3 linked regions of the Pelodiscus sinensis genome follow. The protein of the gene in region 1 purifies or fractionates together with the protein of each later gene. This does not show direct contact. Links are inferred from orthologs where the notes say so. Each region holds a gene or a part of one and is shown on either strand. Other genes may lie near its edges.

Region 1 (7,333 bases):
AAATTAAGTTCCAGAAGTTTGAAAGACTTTCTGTTCATGCGTAGCCCATCAAGCTTCTGGAGTTAAGGAATGAAATTTGGTAATGTGCCAAATGAGAACAATGGGAGCTGAGCCCTTTTGAATATCTGACCCCACTTATGAGTGCTGAACATTTTTGTGTTTCTCACCCTGGATAAAGTGTGTTACAGACAAACTATTTTTGCCATTGCTTTATTTAGTGATCCATTCATTCCCTTGCTGGTAGCATATGCATTCCTTTTTAGCTATATCACGCACTAATTGGATCTGCTGCGGCAGCCTTCAGTTGTTCAACTGTGATGAGAGTCCCCAGCACAATTTTCACATCAGTACAATTAAAAGAATGAAACTCATACCGGCTCTTCAACTTCCCCTGTAGCATGCTGAGCTTCAGCTTGTAAATCAATAGGTGGTGCATCTTCTACAATTCTCTGCACAGACATCTGAATGAACTCATCAAAAGAATCCAGCTGTTGTCGGACCAAGCCCTTCTCATCAAAATAGGAGCTTAGAAAAAAATCAGGAACATTAATTAACAAAAATTCTCAGTTAACATAGTTTATGAATATGTAATCAAGAGGTTTTAAAATTCAAGATAAACATACTATAATTAATCAAAACACATTATTGCTCTATGTAATTGTTCTTGTTTTTGTCTCACAGCACACTGTTGAAATACAATTGTTCCAAAGAAACTTTCAAAAACAGCCAAATATTTATGTCCCGATCTCTCAACTTTGTTCCCTGATGACCCACATACAAGACATTGTGTGTTCGGGACTTTTACTTGCCAATTCACTATTTTGCATTTCTTAGCAGTAATCTCATAGTGTAGCTCTACACTCACAAGCAGTAACAGAAAATATTGTGTTAGTGCTGAATTTACAAGAAAAACCTTTCAGATTGTCTAGGAGGGCTCTGACTTTTCAAAACCATTCATCTTTGGCTAATTATACATAGGACCAGTGGTCTAAAATCTCATACTCTCTCTTTGTAACAGTTCTTTCATTCTTAAAGAGAAAACATTTATGATTTTGGATATGAAATCTTGGAACTTTCATCACATTAAATATTAGATCCTTTTTTAAGCTAAGGGTGCACTTTCCTGTTTACTTCACTACTATCAAACTTTCTAAAAATATTAATGTTACCTAATAACTATCCAGCATGCTTCTTGCCATAGATCTGGAGTGATTTCATCATCATCTTCATCATATTGCATATCTGCCAAGAAAGTAGGACACTCAGGTCAGTCTTTCTATTCATTCAAGATTTTTTGGCTGAATATAGCTTCTAACTACCCAACAGCTGTACATAAATACCTTGCTTTTCTACAATCTAATGAGCTTAATAAAACCTGTAAGAGGACTAACAATAGGCTCTGTTCATAGCTTTCCTGTAATAGTTAGACTGTAAGATCTTTAGGGCAGGGACCATGTTTTTTTCTGTATTTGCTCAGCTCTTAGCACCATGGAATGTTGGTCAATGTTTCCTGTAAGGCTTAAGTGTAAGCTGTGCACTTGTGCAGTTGGTTTTAGAAATTCAAATGTGGCCCAGATGCTTAGGAGAGGATCCACAGCTAGGTGCACTTTGGCACATGCCTCAGGGCACATAAAAAGTTTATTCCACATATGGATGGAAAAATCAGCACATGCATGGAAAAGATTAGGGGGAACATTTGTGTTCATTGATATCTGGGGCTTCAGAGGTAGCAGTGTGGGGTAGCAGGGGGCTCCATAGGAATGGGGCCAGGAGTAGGGGGGAGCACACTGGCTGCTGGCCCTGCCCCCAGGGACTATGGAATAGTCATGTAGTGGCTGAAATTAGAACAGTCACATGCCTGTCCAATTACCCGTGCAGTCCCCTTGGGAAGAAGGAAGGAACGGTGGCTCTTCCAGGCATGGACGAAGAGAGCTAGTAAGCTCCATTTTGGAGGGAGGAGCCAGGCTGTGCTGGTGTAGAGCCTTTTCCAGACCAGGAGCTGTTGTGTTGTAGCTACAGCCTGTTACTGAGAGCATGCTGGGGCCTGGATCTAACAGGCTGCTTTTAGGGTTGCTGGGGATTGTCCCTGGAGGGGAGAGATCCTGGCTGGGGCTAGGGATGTTAAGGACTAGTCGACTAGCCAATAAGCATTTGCTTACCAGATAATCAGTAGACTAGTCGATTTCCACTCCCCCTTGCTGTCTTTATGAGAGGCAGCAAAAGGAAGGAGGATGGGGTAGTTCAAAGCGGCAGCGCTGCACAGTTGAGCCGGGGATCAGCTGTGTGCTGCTGATGCTTTGAAACGCCAAAGCTCCCCGCAGCATTTCAGTGGAGCCCGGGGTCAGCTGGGAACTCCCCAACTGACCCTGGGTTCTGGGGAAATGCCATGAAGAGCCCAGGATCAGCTGGGGAATCTGGGTTCTAGGGCTGCCCCTTTGAAACGCCACCGCCGCGTGTTTCAAAGAGGCAGCCTTGGAGCCCGGGGTCAGCGGGGACTCCCCGGCTAACCCCTGTTGTACATCTCAAAGGAGGAATGCAGAAGTGCCTATTGACTAGCGATGGACATTCCACCCACTACCTGACTCGTCCATTGCCCCCATTCTAACACCCCTGGCTGTGGCTGCGAAGGGCCTGTAAACCCGCACAGGAGGTGCCTGGGGCAGAGCACTAAAGCGCGCGGGCTGGGGTCCGAGGCGTTGGGCGGGGCCTGCTCCGGGGGCAGAGGGACTGACACGCACAGGCCCTGCCGGGGCACGTGATGCAAGTGCCGGGCGGGTCCATCCCTTTCGGCGCCAGGCTGCGCAGGGCTCCCCGCGGGGGGCACACGCCGCGGGCACGGGCCGGGGCCTGCGCGCGCACCCGCCTGGCTGAGCGCGCGGGGCTCCCGGGGAGACGGAGCAGGGCCCGGACCCCCGCGCTCACCTTCGTCCGCGTCGTACATCTTGGCGGTGCGGGGGGGGGCCTCAGCGGCTGCCACGGACTCGGACCCGCCGCCGCGATGGAGGGACTCGGGGAGCGCCAACACGCACGCGCAGGAGACCCGGCGCGGACTGCGGCTGCGTGCGGCTCCCGGCTGGCGTCTCCGCACTATGCTCCGCCGGAAACAGCCACCGCGCGACTAGTTCCTAGCGGGGCGTGCGGCCAACGCGCGTGCGCCGCCCCTCCCGGAGCGCGTGGGTGGCGCGGGCCAATCGGACGCAGTGGGGAGGGGAGGAGCCTAGCGCACCCACTGCCCGGCAGGGGGCGCTCTTCTCGCTGTCCCCGCGCGTGGCCGGAAGCGGAAGCGGAAGCGGAGCCGCCGCGCGCCCCCCATGCTCCGGCTGAGCCGCGCGCTGCTGGGGGCCCTGGCCCGGCCTCGGGCCCCCCCGCGCCCCCCCGCCGCGCTGTGTCCGGGGCGCCGGGCCCTGGCCGCCCTGCGGGAGCCGCGCGGCGAGGAGGAGCCGTTCGTCTTCCCCGAGTACGTGCCCGAGCCGGGCCCCGCGCCGCCCGCCCCCCCGCGCCCGGACCGCGGCCCGCGGCCCAAGCGCCAGCACCGGGCGCCGGGGCGGCCGGACCCCTCGGTGCCCCCCAGCGGGGTGAGCTGCTCGGGCTGCGGGGCGGAGCTGCAGTGCCGGGACCCCGCCGCGCCCGGCTTCCTGCCCAGCGACAAGTACCGCGGCCTCCTGAGCCCCGGCAGGCGGGGGGGCCCGGGGGAGCTGGGGCCGCGGGGGGGCCCGGGGCGCTCGGCGGAGCTGGGGCCGCGGGGGGGCTTGGAAAGTTTAGGGGGGCCAAGGAGCCTGGAGGAATCGGATACACAAGATGCCCCAAGCTGGTCGAAGGATTTGGGGCCCCTGGTGGGCTTGGAAGGTTTGGGGACCCAGGAGGCTTTGGGGGGCTCGGTGGAATTGGGGGCACAGGGAACCCCAGGGGGCTCAGACGGACTGGGGGCCCTGGGGGACTCGGAGGTACACCGGGCCCTGCAGGGGGTGGTGTGTCAACGTTGCTGGCTCCTGGTCCATCACCAGCAGGCACAGCACATGCAGGTGACCCGGGAGCAATACCGCAGCCTGGTTAGCGCGGCTCTGCGCAGCCCCCCCCGGCATGGTCGGTCCCCCCTGGTGTTGTATATGGTTGATATGCTGGACCTACCGGACTCCGTGCTGCCAGACCTCCCTGAGCTGGTGAGTGCAGGGTCAAACATCCTGGTGGTGGGCAACAAGGTGGACCTGTTGCCTGGGGACTCTCCAGACTATCTGAAGCGCTTCCGAAAGTTGTTGCTGAAGAGCTGTGCCCGCCTGGGCATCCTCCCTGCAGCCAAGGGCATTGGGGACCAGGCTGACAGGACTGGGCGCCACAACTTGGTGGATGTGCACCTCATCAGTGCCAAGACAGGCTATGGCGTGGAGGAGCTGATCTCCAAGCTGCAGCGCTCCTGGAAGTGCAATGGCGATGTGTATCTCATAGGCACTACCAACTCTGGCAAATCCACACTGTTCAATACTCTGCTGCAGTCTGACTACTGCAAGTCCAAAGCCCCAGAGGTGATCAACCGAGCAACAATCTCGCCCTGGCCAGGTGAGAGGGGCATGGATGGGGACTTCTGTCATTATCCGTTTAAGCTTTTTGGGGGTAAGAATTTAAAAAAACTCAAGTTCTTTTTGGGGTAAGAACTGGCTTTTATATAGGGGCCTGTTCTTGACTGCAGACTCTTGGGTGTTATCTACTATATATTTGAGAGACTTTCAGATATATTTGAGTTAAGCACCTGAGTAACGTGGGGCAAATCTTGTAGTGATGTATATAATAACATTCCCCCAAAAAAAGTTGGCAAAAGAACTTTTAAGGTTGCAAAATCAAGCACTCAGTAGCTAACAAATGCAAGCGGTAAGCTTGCCCTGTGCTACCTTAAGTTGGTCTCGTGCATAGGCATTATGATAAAGGCTTTAGCTATGTGAAATGGCAAAAACCTTTGTTAGCACAGAGATAAGGTTGTCTGGTGGTAGCTCATGCCTTTCCAGAACTTCAAATTCAGCACGATTCAAACCTTCTGAAAACTCGTAACTTGACTCAGCCTAGTGAAGCTGGCCTTAGCCAATGGGAATCATCTGCATGCAGTCTAAGGGTTAGATGTAGCTGTATTTAATAGAAAGGAATAATTTGGGGCAGCTTAGAAGAGCTGTGATTGTGAGATAAGATTGGGGGTTAGTTTGAGAAGTGGGTAGTAAATCTGCCATTTGAACACTTATATTTGATTTCCAACATTGGTATGTTATGGTGATGCTCAGAGCTGTGTATTTCACGGAGGAGAATTATCTGTCAGGCTTCAAGCAGTAGCACATCTCCTAGTTGTAGTCCAGTCCCAGTGCAGAACTTTTACATTTTCAGAGGTTTGCTTGACAAATTGAAGAACCAAACATTAGCTCCTCTCTGCTTTCAGCATGGGTGTCTCATTCTCGCTGCTGCCCGTTCTACCAATATCAAAAATTCAGGCAGCATCAGTATTGGAAAAGGCTAAGCAGTCAGACAGCAGGACAGAACTAAACTGCAAAGTGACCTGCAGAGAGCAGAGTACTGGTGTGATGTATTTTAATATCAGATGTTAATCCTCTTCCCGGTCCTTCAGTCTAATGGGGCTCTTTTTGGCACTGGCCAGGACTGACTATAGCAAGTCCCATGTCAGGATTATGTCCGTTTCTCAAAACATAACCCATAAATTCCAGGTCCTATTATTTGGCCAAACGCGCTTCAAAATCTCTGGGGAAAATATTTACCAGTCTCGTTCAATAGTGAAGAATATTAATTGAAACAGGGCTCTCTAGTTTTTAGTGGCATTATTCAGTGAGTCTGGCACTTGTGTGGAAAGTGACCTAGCAATGGTGTTAGTAGCATCCTGTTGAGATAGTAGGTGCCCCAAAGTAACAGTTCTTGACACTCATACTGACACTCCATTCCCCCATAATCTTGACCTTGGTTAGCTAAAACGTTATAGATTATAACAAGATTGCATCTGTGTATATCTCCCCACCTAATTGTAGTTTCCACTTCATGCACCGGATGAAGAGGACTGCAGCACATAAAAGCTCTTATGCCCAAATAAATGTGTGTCCCCTGTGGCACCTTAAAGACTCTTCATTGTTTTTGCTGAAACAGACTAACATGGCAACCTGTCTGAAAATTATAAATGATACAATTTCATTCACTGTACTAAGATTGTAAAATGCATTAGTGTTAGCTAACACATTTTTAAAAAATATCTTCCTTCCTAGTCTCAAAAAGGCCATGGTGTCTTCCGGGGGGAAAAAGCTACAAACAAGATATTAATTTATAAAGTTAAAAAAAATCAAATCTAAATGACCACAGTCCTATTTTCTCTGCGCATCACTTTTAAAGGCAAATTGAAAGAAACACCAGGTTTTGCTCTTATAAAAGTTCTGTTTACTTGCAATAGTTTTTAAAGATAGTTTTCATGTCTGGCTTTTATCGTTTATTTTTCAGTAAATTAATTGCCATAAATAAGAATCATGATAATGGCAAAATGGATTAGGTCTTAATTGTGAAGAATTTTGCTAGTTTTCATGCAGTTGTACCACAAGTAATGTTTCTTTGCAAAAGGATGTGTGTATAGGTGCAACCCATTCGTATCATGCTCAGCACATTGGCTTCCTAGAAGCTAACACAACTGCTAACAACTGTTGTCCAACATCATAGTGTTGTCCTAGCCACTGTGGACAGTAATTTCTGAGAAGAGTCTTTAACTTAGCAGTTGTCTTTAGTTTTGTTATTGTGTAATTGTTTTTCTGTTTCATAAAGAAGAATGAGGCCATCATAAAGCCAGTGAAATTTGTTCTGTATGTGGCTTTTTTCACTGTTTGCACCTTAACATTTAATTGCTTTTATATACTATATTTAATTTGCGCAATCATAGACCTGGATAACGTTGGCATTTATTTTTCAGGCACAACCTTAAATCTCCTGAAATTTCCAATTATTAATCCTACACCTGACAGGCTGTTCAGAAGACAGGAAAGATTAAAAGCAGATGCAGAAAAAACTGAAGAACAACTTAGTGGTGATGAACAAAAATATCTTAAATGCCTTAAAAAGCAAGGTTATTTAATAGGTGAGTGTTATCTGAGAGAGAATATTTAAATCTTAAGAGCAAATGGTGATACTGCATTAAAGATTCAATTAAACTTTATTGTATGGTATGTTAGTATCTAAAGTGCACTCTTGATTAGTAAAAATTGCTAGCCAGCATGCATTTGTGATACAATTCAGATTTGGGTTATTAGTGTATGCGATAGTGTAACAATATATCAGAATAAGAATTCATTAAAGATAAGAACTGCCATAC
Region 2 (7,595 bases), on another chromosome or scaffold:
CTTCTGTACTATACTTTTTTCCAACTTACTCCATCAGCCTTTTTCACCCAGTCTTGTGCATATATGCACAACTTACCCTACAGCCTCATTTCTGTCTTTTGCTAGTTTTGCCCCTACTAGCAACAGACAGATATGAAATGTAGGAGGCAAAGCAATGTCTAAGGACATTGTTAGGTCAGAAGCCAACCTACTTCTGGGCGAGTTCTAGGATTCCCATCTCAGTGTATCCCTTACTTCAGGAACTTCATTTTTCAAGTACCAATTTTGCTCATTTTACAGGTTAATTGATACAGTGAACAGTCAGCATTCAAGGATTTTTCGCAGATCTCATGACTCCCATTTCCTACCCACACCTCCATAGACTATTAGGCCATAAAGAATATTTAAGTTTACAAAAGAGTGACAATGGAGAGGTGAAAAATGCTATGATTGCTTTTGAATTAGGGATGTAACAGTACAGTCGATTAACTGATAAGCAAAAGCTTATAGGTTAATGCTATAGACTACACTCATTGCCCCCACCCCCCGCCAGTAAAATTTTTAGCAGGCTGGCCAGCAGCCCAGCTTAGCCCTGGCTTGCACTGGGTCCTGGACCTACCCCCACTGCAGCTCTGCATTTAAAGTTTATTAGAAGCTAGGCAGCCCGGCTCAGTTCCGGTTTGTGCCGGGTCTGGGAGCTCAGACTCCTCCCCCCCGGACAGGGGCTGCCTGGGGACTATAGAATAGTCGACTAACCAATAAGAATTCATGAGGTTAATTGACTATTCAATTCACCAATATTTAACATCCATATTCTGAATATAGTTATTCATTTCTCCAGATTGTTCATCTGTAAATTAAAAACTTTGTTACAATCAATTTAAAACTCCTACCTTAAAAGATTCCACCATAAACTGAGAATCAACAAGAAAAACTCCACAGACACGAAATTCCCACTGTTGCAGCTGCTCCACCAGCTGTTTCATCATTGGCAAATGAGTATAAAGTTCAATCTGACCTAGGACACATACATAATTAATATGCAGGAGTGTAAAGCTAATGCTGAGACAGTAATAGCATATTAGTTCATCAAATACCATTATAGTAGATAGGCAGAAGATATTGCTATTAAAATTAGTGAAATCTAGCACAGAATGTGTGATAGCATTATCTAAAAAGAAGTATTTGCTCTTGGACAGTTTTAAACAAAATAATATGTTTCATTTTGGCACTAAACCACATAACAGTTAAAAAAGGCTTTATCTGCAAATGATCAAATACATGCAAAAAAAATCTACACATCAGATAAGAAAAAAAATTAAGTCACCAGAATATAAAAGCTTGTTTACCTGGGCAATCAAAGAGTATGTAGTCATCCTCCACATGGCCAAGACAATCCTCAAGCCAATCAAAGTTATTGGCAAAGTATTCCATGCAAAACACTAAACCACCATTGGGACCAAACCTTAAGTTGTCATCTTCCATAACATCATCTACTTCAATTAATTCTCGAATGTCTAGAATAAAAAGTGCATGTTTTGTGTTTTTTTCAACACTTCATAAATAAATTCCAGAAGCAAATTCCTACAAGTTTAAATCTCCAAATGATCTTCGCCAACTAAATTTGTTTCACGTGCTGCCCCAGCTCTCCCATCCCCCATGCCTTTTGCCAATTTTTGTGATTTTACAGTCACAAATTCCTGGGTTTTTTTTAAAGTGTTGTTTCTTTTCTCCATTCCTTCAAACAGACAAAAAAAATGTATATATAGGGGGAAACCAGAACACTGACTATTTCTAAAAGGTTTGTAAAATACTGCTATAGATTCAGGAAAAATATTGTATAGGTCCTACTAATATTGCCTCAAAATACCATAGTTTTGTGTGTGTGTGTATAATATATATATATATATATATATATATATCCTTTTATTAAAAAATAAAAATCAGATTTAAAATCGGGAGAGTGCTGTAAGTCAAATCGGAACAGCTTTGACATGCAGACAGGTCAAATTTGAATTAAATTTGAATTTGTCATTAAAAAGAAAACTCGATATTCAAGCCTGATTCAGCCTGTGTAAGAACTGTTCTATTCTCTATCCATTTTCAGCAGTTCGGAGAGTACAGGAAATTAAGAAACAATGCACCCAAACACAACTCACCAGCCATCACAGGATAATTGAAGTATTCTGCTGCAGGGTCCAGGTTAACAACTTGCACTGAGCGGTTTAGGGCTGCACAATGCTGAACCATGGTGGAACAGTAAGTGCTCTGTAATTTAAATAGGAATCTTATTACCCACTGAAAGTACCTAAAAGTTGCAATTTTATACCTGAAAGTAGAGGCAACAGTCTTAATATTGAAAGCAGGAGTCTGGGAATCTGAATACCCGAATTCCATTCCCAGCTCTGCCTGACGTAACCGTCCAACATATGCAGCACTTCCCCTCTATGCCTGAGTATCCCTGGCTGTGAAAGGGGGATAACACCTCCTCTGTACAGCACCGTCCAGTCTCCCGATGAAAGGAGCGATGCAAACGCAATGCAAAGGGTTATCTGTAGGCTACCACAAAGGACTATTTTATCAGAAGAGTCACCGCCACTTTACACCATGTCAGATTGCAAGAAACGCCAACGGGAGTACACGGCAACTTCCACTTAAGCCGCCTCATAACCCTCCACTTACCCCCACGCCTCCAAGTACTTACCCATGCCTCAGTTTCCCATGCCTCAGTTTCCTCAATTACCCCAACCCCTTATGCCCCGCCCCCATTCCCGCCGCACGCCCCGGGTCCACCCTCGGTACAAGGCGAAGGGTGGTCTCACCTTCCCACTGCCCGCCGGGCCCATGACCAGCTGGGCGAAGCGGGGCATGGCTGCTGCTCAGTTTCTCCAACGCAGCGCGGAGACAGCAGGGACCGAGCGAAAGGAACTGACCCCTCCGCGATCCCGTAGCGTGGCGGATACGCCGTATTCGCACACTAGAGCTCCTCGGATACGGAGCGTCCCAAAGCTCAAACTTCCTATAGAGGCCGAATCGCCCCGTTCGGCTCCTGGAGAGGACGTGGAAGACTATTCCTGCGCACGCGCGGAGACGCTTTGCTGGCGGAGTGGGCTGTTGGGCGGGGCGCCGAGGCTCGTACCTGGGTTAACCTAGTGGGTCACAGGCGTCTGGGCGGCAGGTCCGCAGAAACTGGCGGTGCCCAGAGCCCGCAACCCCTCCCCCCCCCAGATCCGCCCTCCCGCCTACGCCTCTCGGTGGGGAGGATGGAGTTTGGGTGCGGGAGGAGGAGTGGGGAGGATGGAGTTTGGGTGAGGGAGGAGGAGTGGGGGGTGCAGTTTGGGTGAGGGAGGGAGAGTGGGGGGGTGCAGTTTGGGTGAGGGAGGGAGAGTGGGGGGGGATGCAGTTTGGGTGCGGGAGGAGGAGTGGGGGGGTGCAGTTTGGGTGCGGGAGGAGGAGTGGGGGGGGTGCAGTTTGGGTGCGGGAGGAGGAGTGGGGGGGGTGCAGTTTGGGTGCGGGAGGAGGAGTGGGGGGGGTGCAGTTTGGGTGCGGGAGGAGGAGTGGGGGGGGTGCAGTTTGGGTGAGGGAGGGAGAGTGGGGGGGATGCAGTTTGGGTGAGGGAGGGAGAGTGGGGGGGATGCAGTTTGGGTGCGGGAGGAGGAGTGGGGGGGGTGCAGTTTGGGTGCGGGAGGAGGAGTGGGGGGGGTGCAGTTTGGGTGCGGGAGGAGGAGTGGGGGGGGTGCAGTTTGGGTGCGGGAGGAGGAGTGGGGGGGGTGCAGTTTGGGTGCGGGAGGAGGAGTGGGGGGGGTGCAGTTTGGGTGAGGGAGGGAGAGTGGGGGGGATGCAGTTTGGGTGAGGGAGGGAGAGTGGGGGGGATGCAGTTTGGGTGAGGGAGGGAGAGTGGGGGGGATGCAGTTTGGGTGCGGGAGGAGGAGTGGGGGGGTGCAGTTTGGGTGAGGGAGGGAGAGTGGGGGGGATGCAGTTTGGGTGCGGGAGGAGGAGTGGGGGGGATGCAGTTTGGGTGCGGGAGGAGGAGTGGGGGGGGTGCAGTTTGGGTGAGGGAGGGAGAGTGGGGGGGATGCAGTTTGGGTGCGGGAGGAGGAGTGGGGGGGATGCAGTTTGGGTGCGGGAGGAGGAGTGGGGGGGGTGCAGTTTGGGTGAGGGAGGGAGAGTGGGGGGGATGCAGTTTGGGTGAGGGAGGGAGAGTGGGGGGGATGCAGTTTGGGTGCGGGAGGAGGAGTGGGGGGGTGCAGTTTGGGTGAGGGAGGGAGAGTGGGGGGGTGCAGTTTGGGTGCGGGAGGGAGAGTGGGGGGGGTGCAATTTGGGTGCTGGTGCAGCCTCTGGGCTGGGCCAGTGGATGTAAGAAGGGGTGAGGGGTTACAGGCTTTGGAATGGAGTGAGGTGCGAGAACAGGTGTGGAGGGAGAGGGTACATGTTATAGTGCTGGGCTTCTCAATATGTGGCCCATGGGCCATATGCGGCGCTCAGCCCGTTTGTTTGCGGCCAGTGGTGTGGTTTGGATTTACGCAGGGCTCAATATGCGGCCTGCAGGTGAGAGCCCCCCCCCAAAAAAAGTAGTCAATATAATGGTTTTTTGGTGATATGCGTTTTAGTAGTTTAAGTCCTGGACTGTCATTGCTCACTAAAAGTGCTGTCCTATGGATGGAAATCGGGTAAATATTGCATTTTATTAATATCAGCACAACTGACTTAAATGGGGCCTGTGTGTTATGTGGTCTTGCTTAATCTTTGTATTCATGCCCAAAATGTGAAAGAAGCTGAGTGTATATATATTTGCATGTATATGCAACCACATTTAAGTTTCAGCCCTCAGCTAGGGTTGCCAGGTGTCTGGTTTTGAACCGGACAGTCCGGTATTTGAGCTTTCTGTCCGGGAAACAAATTGAGAAAATACCCGACATATAAATGTCCAGTATTTTCTAATTAAGTAAGTTTTATTGTTATCCTGAGTATCAGTACAAAGTTGCATAGTGCGTGAACGTGTCTACCAGCCAGGCAGTACACAGCTACGCAGTAGGGAGGAGGGGGCGGGGGTGAGGCGGGATGGAATCTCTGGGGTCGGACTCACTCATGCACCCTGCCGGGACCATGCACGGGATGGGCAGCACTCCAGGATCTGTGTGTGCCCAAACCAGCCCTCTCCCCACCAGCCAGTTCTTCCCCTCTGACCCCTCCTCCCCCGCCCGGCCAGTCCTGCTCCCTGCCTGCCAGTCGTCTCCCCCGCACCGCCGCAGTCAGCCCCGCTCCCCTCCGACCCTCTCCCGGACAGCCCTGCTTCCCACCAGCTGGTTCCTTTCCCCCAATCTCCCCCAGCCAGCCCTGCTCCTCCCGACCCCCTCCCAGCCAGCCCCGCTCTCCACCAGCTGGTCCGCCTCCCAATACCCCTATTTCCCCTGGCCAGCCCCACCCCCGCCAACCTTCTCCTGGCCAGCCTTGCTTCCCACCAGCTGGTTCCTTCCCCCAATTTCCCCTGGACAGCCCTGCTCCTCCCGACCCCCTCCTGGCCAGCCCAGCTCTCCGCTGGCCAGCCTCCACCCCAAAATCACCCCGGCTAGCCTCGCTCCCCCTGACCCCTTCCTGGCCAGCCCTGCTTCCTGCCAGCCATTCTCCCCCTCCCCCCACCATCAGATCTGCTCCTCCTATCCTCCCCGCCCAGCCCTGCTTCCCGCCAGCCAGTTGCCCCCTGCCCCCGATCAGCCCTGCTCCCCCGAACCCCTCCCAGCTGGTTCCTCCCCTCCCCCCATTCTGAGATCTTGTATGTCTGATATTATTTTGAAAGCCATCTGGTAACCCTACCCTCAGCATGTGCGGTAGGTATCATTGTGGCTCCCAGGACTTCCAAAGTTGAGTCACCTTGGTGTAACGCTTAGCTGTGGCACCCAGGAGTGGGGACTGGGAGTCTCTGTGTTCTGCTGCCAAAGATGGCTTTCAAAAAAATATCGGACACACATGATCTCTGTAGTGTAGACAAGGGCTTAGCTTCTGAAACTTTTGGGTACCATTGGCTCACATTTTGTACCTTTTCTCTGCAACATGAGAGCTAGAAAGATGCAAGCTGAGAGTCTCAACGTGATGGACCCCCTGATGCTTTATGAAATGGACTTATGGGTACAAATGTACATAACTCCAAAGTGCTTTGAGCAAATTACTTCATGTAACCTATCAATCTTCATATCTTAATCTGCTAGATCTGTTCATCTCATTTTGGTATGTGTGTCATTCTTGTGTATAAAATTAGACATATGGACTGGGGAATGCTTTATGGTTTTAAATGTGTGAATGAATAGCATTAAAGATGCAATGTCTTGATGACCAACTTGATGACCAACACTTTCTTTTGTCCTTTAAGTCTTAGCAGTGGTTGGTCTGGGAAAGTCACATGTTCACCCCAACTGGCCAGGTGAATTCCCAGGAGGGAATCTTTAAAAACAATAGGAAGGTAGTAGTCTGGGTCTTTGGGCTGGTTGGGCAGATGTGAAGAGGGTGAACTAAAGGCTCCAAGGTGAGGGACAGCCCTGGTTTGGAAGGTTGTGCTGGAAATGAGACAGTTTTAGGGTGAGTTTATAGTTTGTTCTGAGGATTTTAGTTAGTGTCAGAATTAGCTTAGCAGTTTTTGTTACGTTTGATTTGTAATCTACTTTGCTCTGCCTGTTCTCACTTACTACCACTTAAATCAGGGCTACTCAACTTTGGAAGCCCCGAGCGTCACAATGATACTCACAGCACATGCAGTGGGCCACAGCTTAAGTGTGGTTGCATATACATGTAAATATATATGCAAGTATATGCAAATAACTTCTTTCACGCTTATTGGCATGAAAACAAAGATTTAAGTTGTGGCGCTAGACCCAAACATGGCCAGTGTGAGCCAGTCAGCACTTTTTAGATTCTGCCCACAAGGCTAAGTAGCCAGCACTTCCCACAATGCCCCAGCTCCTGACACCTCCTCTCTGGGGACTAGAAACACTGACACTCTGTACCCATCTGGTCCAGCCAGCCTGTCCACTTGTGTCTTTCAGTGCTCACCCCGCATGGAAGATGCCTCGTCATTGTGGAGTGTGTTCCCAATAGAGGCCACGTTCAAAGGATCCCACCTGCAGACCGCGTGTTGAGCCACATAAACCCAAATCAGACCACAGGCCACAAATAAATGGGCCATGAGCCACATGTGACCCACAAGCCATGTGCTGAGTAGCCCTGACTTAAATCCTACTGCTTGTTGTTAATAAAAACACTTTATTTTCTATCAAGCCCAATGAAAATAATTTTTACCTGGCAGGGAGGGGCAACCAGTGTGTACATTTCCCCTTTCATTGCTAAAGGGAGCTTACCCAAGTAATTCATTGGTGGGTTTTGATCCCATTTGGGGAGTGGTATCTCAGGAAGCTGGGGCCTAAACTGGCCTTTCCTTGGACCAGAAGAGATTCAGTATCTTTACTGCTTCCTGGGGGCAGAGGAGGGCACTGATCTCAGCAAGGTATCTTGGCTGAGGGAGACCAGGAAGCTGGCCCTGCAGGATAGGTGGTGAGGAGGCCCAGAGAGTGGGAAAGCAAATGGCAGTGGCCCTGTCAGCACTCCTGGAAGCCCCTCCCCCAGGG
Region 3 (7,178 bases), on another chromosome or scaffold:
ATTCAAAACCCCAGAAGACAACAAAAACGTATCCCAAACTAGTATTACAACACCAAGCACAGCTTACATGGCAACTAAAGCATTATGAATGAATAACAACCCAGTGTATGTCTTTTCTGAAGGGTCTCATATAAACATCTGGTAATTCCAATCAAGGAGACAACCATTAACTGAGTTCAGCACACAATTGTGCACAACTTTTGTGCATACCCTAACACAAAATGTTTATACTTCCTGGCAACTAAGTATCAGATCCATACTGCACTTGTTTTTAATATGTGCAAGCCCCCTAAAAATTAAGTTGTCTCAAGTCACATAAGCCTATGTATTTGTTAATTTAACCATGACTTAGAAATGAGAACAACAAATATTTGCACCAACACAGCATGGTAAAAATGTTCTTGATTTTGATTAAGGTACAATAATTGCATCTCTGCTACATCATCTAAATACCAATTTACCATTTCATAGTTTTAGTCCTCATATGCTCTCTCTATCTTTCCCGCCACAAAGCCCTGGGACAATTTCAGCAGAAACTTCTGGCATACACTTGTTCCAGACTAGTATTGACAAAACAGGTTTTTAAAATATACTTGCCTAGTCCTGAAGTAGCATTTGTAGAACCCTGTAGTCCAATTTCCCCCACAATTCTATCACAAGAATAAAAATTACTAAAAGAACTCAACTGTCTTTTTATATGTTTTTTTATTGACCGATAAAAGTCTTGTTTATATATACTAGTTTACTGGATCTTAGAAAAGATGCAGATGTTCTAGATACACCAATGATTTCCAATAAAGAAAGTTCAGGCCTGGCTGCATCCACCTAAATATCAAAAGAACTGCAATAAAAGAAAATAACTTGCCATCATAAAACAAAGGAAGTAGAAGGTTTCAATGGCTTCCTGTCGAGAAAGACCTGTTTGAAGTGTAGGGTAGCAAGCCATTAGCTCAATTTAACCCAGAGACCTGAAACATGCTATTCACCAGCTGGGAACACAAAGACAACATATTTAACAAGTCAGAAGTCAATCAACAGAAAATTATGTGAATACCATTAAACAATGGAAAATATTTGTCATATAATATCTCTCCACATTGAGAGCTATTCACTAAAATGCATAGGATTGGTATACACATATTTTAGAGCGTATGGCAATGATGTCGTCATCAATAAAAGTTCTATTACAGCAAATCTGATCTCTAGATTAAACTTCCTCCTTTCTTATTCTGTTAAGCAGAAAACTGTTAGATTCCTTCATTATTTGATCTTCACTTCCACAACACACAAAACAAACAGGAAACTACTGCTTCAAGAATACAATAAAAACGGAATGCACCTATTTGCACAACTTTGTGTTAAAAGCACTTCTGTATTAACACTAAATAATAACCCATGACAGCTGTTTATTTCAGTGGCATTCTAGAGCATATGCAGAGGATGTATGTGTCTATCTTCTACCTCCAGCCATTAGACTATGTTATCCCTTTCTCCGCCAGGCATATATCATTAACATAAGTCTTTATAAACTTTTTCCTATCCCACCCATCTTCATAGGACTTGAGCAGTTCATAAATATGAAATAGTTTAGTCACACAATAACCCTACAAGTTACAGAAATACTAGTGTCCCATATTACAAATAAGGAATTTGAGGCAGAGAGAAAGGAAAATATCGAGGTTATGAAAGCTGTTTCTATAGCTCACCTTTGCCTTCCCTTTAATATGTGTTGGCAGCATCAAGCACTAGGCTAATGTACTCCTAACATTTAAACTGACCTAACTACATCACTGAGACTGTGAAAGTTTTCTGCTGGAATGAATTCTTCCATAGACCAAACTACCATCTTTCTAGGAGGTGTATTTTTACTACAGCGACTGAAAAAAAAAATCCCTTCTATTGCTGTGTTTATATATCCGTGGTATAACAGCGGCTACACTGAGATCTGCCTTCCTGGAAATATAACTTTTTCCAAATAAAATGTATGTGGTCAATTTCCGTTAAAACTTGTTGGTGTTTGAACGTTACTTAGACTTTTGCACCGTGTGAACTACAGAGGTATAGGCCAAGTCTGAGAGGGAGGGGGGGGAAGAGAGAAATTTTATAATTCGGGGACGGGATGAGACTGATAGTCTCTAGCTTACTTGGACTGCGGCTATGACCAAAAACATAGGCAAGAGGCTCAGTGTAACTGGTGATCACTGCGCAGAGGCGCTCAAAACACGCAGCGGAGCAAACAGCAAAAGGAGGTCTCAGGAACCAGACCTTCAGCAGAACAACTCCCACACCCGCCACAGCGCATTCGCGCCGCGAGCCGGTGGCTGTTGGGCCGCTCCGCCAGCCGCAGCCACGAAGTTAAAGCGGACGGGGGGCGGCGGAGACACGCTCGGTTTCGAGAGACTCTGCGGCTCTCACAGCCCGGCCCGACACCTCTCGCGGATGCGCTACCCGAGCCCCGGCGGGCTCGGCCGGGCCGGGCGATGCTGCGGCCGGTCGGCACGGCCTCTGCGAGCCCGGGGCGGGGCGGCTGCACCCATACCCCTCGCCCGCCTCCCCGGCGCGGTCAGGGCGGCCGCGCTCCCAGCCGCCTTCTTACCCGGGCGCGATGACCTGTCCGGGCCGCGCACACAGCTCGCGCACCACCCCGGGCCGCTCCGCCTTCACTCGGCGCTCGGCGGCCGCTCGCGGGGGCCGGGCGCCGGGGCCCTGGGCCGGGGGGGTGGTGGCGCGGCCGGGCGGCGGGAGGGGCGCGCACAGCGCCAGCAGCGACCCGATCTTCACCGCCGCTCCCGCGGACACCTTCCACTCCAGCAGCCGCAGCGCCCGCGGGCCCGGCACCCGGATCTCGGTCACCGCCGTCCCGGGGCCCTCGGCGGCCCCTGCTCCTTCCGTCTCCTCCATGGCTCCTCCGGCCGCGGCGGCTCGTCCCGGCCCTAGGCCGCCGAGGGGAAGGTCGCTATGGTAACGCTCGCGCCACTAACTCAATAATAGCCTCGAACGCTGAGCTGTTATTTTCTCATTCTCCCCCCCCCCTCCCCTTCTCAAAAAAAAAAAAAATTAAACAGTCACGAGCCGCGCCGACTGGGCGCGAGGTCACGGCCCCGATACGCACGCGCAGGGCGCGCCCAACGCACACGCCTGTCCGGGCTTAAAGAGACAGTAACGCAGAACTCGCTCCCAGGAGCCAGCGAAGGAAAGACACAACGCGCATTGACTCTTCCCGCTCCAGGGAGAGAAAGGGACAGCCACGCCCCCCAGGCCCACACTTCCGGCACCTTGTGCTGACCTCACAGTCAACACTCAACAGCGAGCGCGTGCTCCCCTTCCGGAACCCAATAGGTGCTCTAACCACCTGGGCTCCGCGCACGCGCAGACAATCCCGGCACACAGTGCGGGACCAAAGAACTACTCTTCCCGGCAGGCGAAGACCTTCCCAACACGTCAGGAACTACAACTCCCAGCATGCGTTGCTCCGAGCCCGTCCCCTCGCATTAAAGTTGCTGGGGCGAGCCCGAGCGACGGGTCCTTAAGGGAAGGCGCGTTGCATGCTGGGCTCTGTAGTTTGCAGCGGGGAAGGAGGACACCGCGATTCCCCTGCAGCCCAATGTGGGTGGGTGCTGCACGCTAAGTGCGGCTGGTGGGACGCGAACGGGCGCCCCCCTGCACCGCTCTGCCGATGTGTGCGGCCACCCAGGGCTTAATGCTGGGGCGTGGGCTACCCTTGGAACTTAGATTCAGTTTGACTCCTGTCAGGAGCGTGAAACCCCCGCTCCGAGCTGGGTTGTTAACCTGACCGAAGTCCCTGTGGAGACAGCGCTTGGTTGATAGAGGAATTCTCCTATTGACCTGGCTCCCAGCTGGGACAAGTGGATTTTTTTTGCAGGGTAGCGCCAGAAGTGGCGTCTATAATCGCCCCAGCTGTGTGGAATGTGTTCAGTGTAGACAAGCCCTCTAGTCTACACCGCCCTGGCCTGTCAATCTAAGAACGTAAAGGCATCTTCAGATGTGTGAACAATCTAGCGGAAGTCGACATACTTAGATCTACTTACTGCAGTATCTTCACTGCGGTAAACCCGCTGCAGCTGACGCTTGCCCATCAATTGGCTTTGTGATTCTTGATCTGATAGAGAGGACTTGGCAATGTGGCACCTTAAAAGCTAACAGATTTATTTGGGCATAAATTTTCGTGAATAAAAAGTACAGATGCATTTGGTGATCTGGACTAAGGTCATGCATTAACTCTGTTAGTCTTTAAGGTGCCAAAGGACTCCTGGTTTTAGCAGATACAAACATATCCCTCGGAGACTTGTTTTCCACATCCTGTTATATAAGATTTTACAGCTTAGGTCCTTGGAAATTCTAGTTGCAGCTCCCTCTTGTGGGTGAAAAGCTGTCTTGCATAATGTTCCCTTTGTCACGTTTGTTTAGGACAGCAAATCTCAGTAACACCTTGTGGTTCTATGATAAAACGAGAACACAACAAATATTAAAACAGAACTTGACTGTGTTTATGCAATGACATTTGATGATGTAGTTGTGGAGAGTTAAAGTATTTAAGATTTACCATTAACTTCATGAGGTTTGATGTCTTTTTGTGTGCAATTACTTTTCATGGTGCCAGGAAAGGCTAATGTGTTTGTAATGTCATTCTTATTGATTTTGATAGTCCTTTCATGGTGCTGGATGGCATGTTCTAGTGGTCCCACTGCTGTCATGTGTCTGTTAGGTAGTGAATTCAGTGTATTCTAATTATAATTCCAACACTCCAGTCATCTGAAGAAGTGGGCTATGCCCATGAAAGCTCATGATGCCATCTATGTGTTTTGTTAGTCTATAAAGTGCTGCCATACTATTTGTTGTTTTTAAGTTTATCCAATTATAACGGTTAGAAGGATCTTGCCTTTCTCCTCACCCCATATCAGGTTTCCTCTAGCTATAGGAAACTGTATTGGACAGATTAATTTACTGTTCCAATTATATGTATGTTCATCAACCACAATAATATGGGAATGGATGTTTATCTATTTCCACACATGTTGCCTGTTTTCATCTGCAGAATCTGGTTTAAGGAAATAATCACACTCTGAACTGTTTCTTCACATTGTAGCTCTGGAAAGGCTCTGGCCTAGTTTTAGCTTTGTTTCTCTGAGTTGTGACTCCTTCCATTACTTCAGGACATAATAGCACATTGACTGTAAGTACCAATGTGCATGTGCACCTGGATATTAAAGCTTCTAGAGAGCAGCTGCTGGTCATGCCATCAGTGGGGGTATTTCTTCATTTTAGGATAACTTGCCACTTGTTTTCCATATTCTTTAAAGCTGTGTCTACACTGCAAAAGCCTCTTGCGCAAAAACAGAGCCTCATTAATTATGCAAATGAGATGTGGTGATATTCCATGCTTCAGTTCATTTGCATATTTTTTGCACCAAACGGCAGTGTAGACACGGCCTAAGATAATTTTTGCAATTTTGATGGATGATTCAGTTTTGCCATTGAACTGACTGTTGTAATGTAGAGAACATAAGAACGGCCATACTGGGTAAGACCAAATGTCCATCTAGCCCCGTATCCTGTCTGCCAACAGTGGCCTATACCAGATGCTCCAAAGGGAGGGATCATAACAGGTAATCCTCATGTGATCCCTCCCCTGTCCCTCCTCCAGAGAAACAGAGGCTAGAGGAGCTTGTAATGTGGTTAAATATCCAATCTTTAGCAAATTCCTTGCTGGTGAATCGTGGTCCATTATCAGAGATAATACAATCCAGTATGCCATTCCTACTAAAGTTTTCTGTTGCTTTTTCTCTATTGTTGCTGCAGTAGAGTTTGATAGTTCATCTAACTCCGAAAAGTCAAGATCAGTAGTCAGCAGTGCTGAGGTCCATAGTCACCTTGCTCCAGGATCAGTGAGGAATGCTACATATCTTCAAAGTTGCCTTTTGTTGACTTGCTTGGAAATCTGCACATGCACTGCAGTCCCTTATCAAGTCATAAGAACGGCCGTACTGGGTCAGACCAAAGGTCCATCTAGCCCAGTATCCTGTCTGCTGACAGTGGCCAACACCAGGTGCCCTAGAGAAGGTGGACCGAAGACAATGATCAAGTGATTTGTCTCCTGCCATCCCTCTCCAGCCTCTGACAAACAGAGGCCAAGGACACCATTTTATCCCCTGGCTAATAGCCTTTTATGGACCTACCCTCCATGAAATTATCTAGCTTCTCTTTAAACTCTATTATAGTCCTAGCCTTCACAGCCTCTTCTGGCAAGGAGTTCCACAGGTTGACTACACGCTGTAGTCACTTAAGGTTACAAAGGCTAGTGTGTGTCCTCTTCACATTGAGGGAGTGGCAGACAAATTTCTGACCAGGACAGGACAGTATAGTCCTGAGTATAAAGCTGGGGCCATGGGAGATTTGCTGGTGCCTTTTTCTTTGTGTGCATCTACACTGCACTGTTATTTTGGGATAACTAGCATTATTTTGAAATAACAACATAAGCATCTATACAGCCATTCTGTTATGTCGAAATAATTTTGAAATAACGGACGGCTTATTCTGAGATCTGTGAACCTCATTCTATGAGGAATAACGCCTATTCTGAAATAGCTATTTTGAAAAAAGGCATATGTAGATGCTCCACTGCTGATATTTTGAAATAACCCCTCACCAGGGCCATTCTAAGTTATTCCTCCCCCGTGCCTCCTGGGGCTCTAAATGGAGATATCACATTTACATTAGGGAAGCCTGCCTCAGACTAATTTTGAGGCTTCCCTGCAGTGTAGACATAATAGCTTATTTCAAAATAGCCATGCAGTGTAGACGTCCTCTTAGTGATTTGTGAGTGCATCAGGGAGCATTCATGCAATTAAGTTGGGCAAGAGGCTCCACATGCTGTCATGGGGTCTGTCTACAAAGCAAAGTTATTTTGGGATACCAGAGGTATTCTGAAATAGTTGCCCCATGTCTTTGAAATGTGTCAGCTATTTTGAAATATAGCGGGCACGCTATTTCGCCATCATTCTACGAGGAGTAAGGAGTGGCCCAAAATAGTGCTTTATTTCAAAATCCGTAGATAGCGCCAAATGATGAAATTAGCTATTCCGAAATAAGTACGCAATTTGCGCAGCTTATTTCGAGTTTTGGATGCTGTGTAGACTCACCCATACTGAGTGACAATA

What was found.
Region 2: the proteins of POLR2B (region 1) and GPN3 purify together in Homo sapiens (co-immunoprecipitation; 3 studies listed by BioGRID and IntAct, counting the BioPlex papers as one, with this or other methods). This does not show direct contact. The link is inferred for Pelodiscus sinensis from reciprocal best matches to the Homo sapiens genes POLR2B and GPN3.
Region 3: the proteins of POLR2B (region 1) and CTDP1 purify together in Homo sapiens (affinity purification with mass spectrometry; 3 studies listed by BioGRID and IntAct, with this or other methods). This does not show direct contact. The link is inferred for Pelodiscus sinensis from reciprocal best matches to the Homo sapiens genes POLR2B and CTDP1.

What each region holds. Positions count from the first base shown.
Region 1 is NC_134715.1:614,851-622,183, reverse strand, and holds the start of POLR2B (DNA-directed RNA polymerase II subunit RPB2), read right to left. Parts: upstream 3,085-7,333; 5' UTR 2,942-3,084; coding exon 2,923-2,941; intron 1,243-2,922; coding exon 1,170-1,242; intron 526-1,169; coding exon 375-525; intron 1-374. Other genes in the region: NOA1 (nitric oxide-associated protein 1), read left to right, coding at 3,312-4,554, 6,935-7,099. UniProt on the Homo sapiens protein: Catalytic core component of RNA polymerase II (Pol II), a DNA-dependent RNA polymerase which synthesizes mRNA precursors and many functional non-coding RNAs using the four ribonucleoside triphosphates as substrates.
Region 2 is NC_134725.1:32,203,345-32,210,939, reverse strand, and holds the start of GPN3 (GPN-loop GTPase 3), read right to left. Parts: upstream 3,031-7,595; 5' UTR 2,850-3,030; coding exon 2,802-2,849; intron 2,248-2,801; coding exon 2,139-2,247; intron 1,497-2,138; coding exon 1,329-1,496; intron 998-1,328; coding exon 873-997; intron 1-872. UniProt on the Homo sapiens protein: Small GTPase required for proper localization of RNA polymerase II (RNAPII). May act at an RNAP assembly step prior to nuclear import.
Region 3 is NC_134712.1:100,310,371-100,317,548, reverse strand, and holds the start of CTDP1 (RNA polymerase II subunit A C-terminal domain phosphatase), read right to left. Parts: upstream 3,050-7,178; 5' UTR 2,902-3,049; coding exon 2,597-2,901; intron 1-2,596. UniProt on the Homo sapiens protein: Processively dephosphorylates 'Ser-2' and 'Ser-5' of the heptad repeats YSPTSPS in the C-terminal domain of the largest RNA polymerase II subunit. This promotes the activity of RNA polymerase II.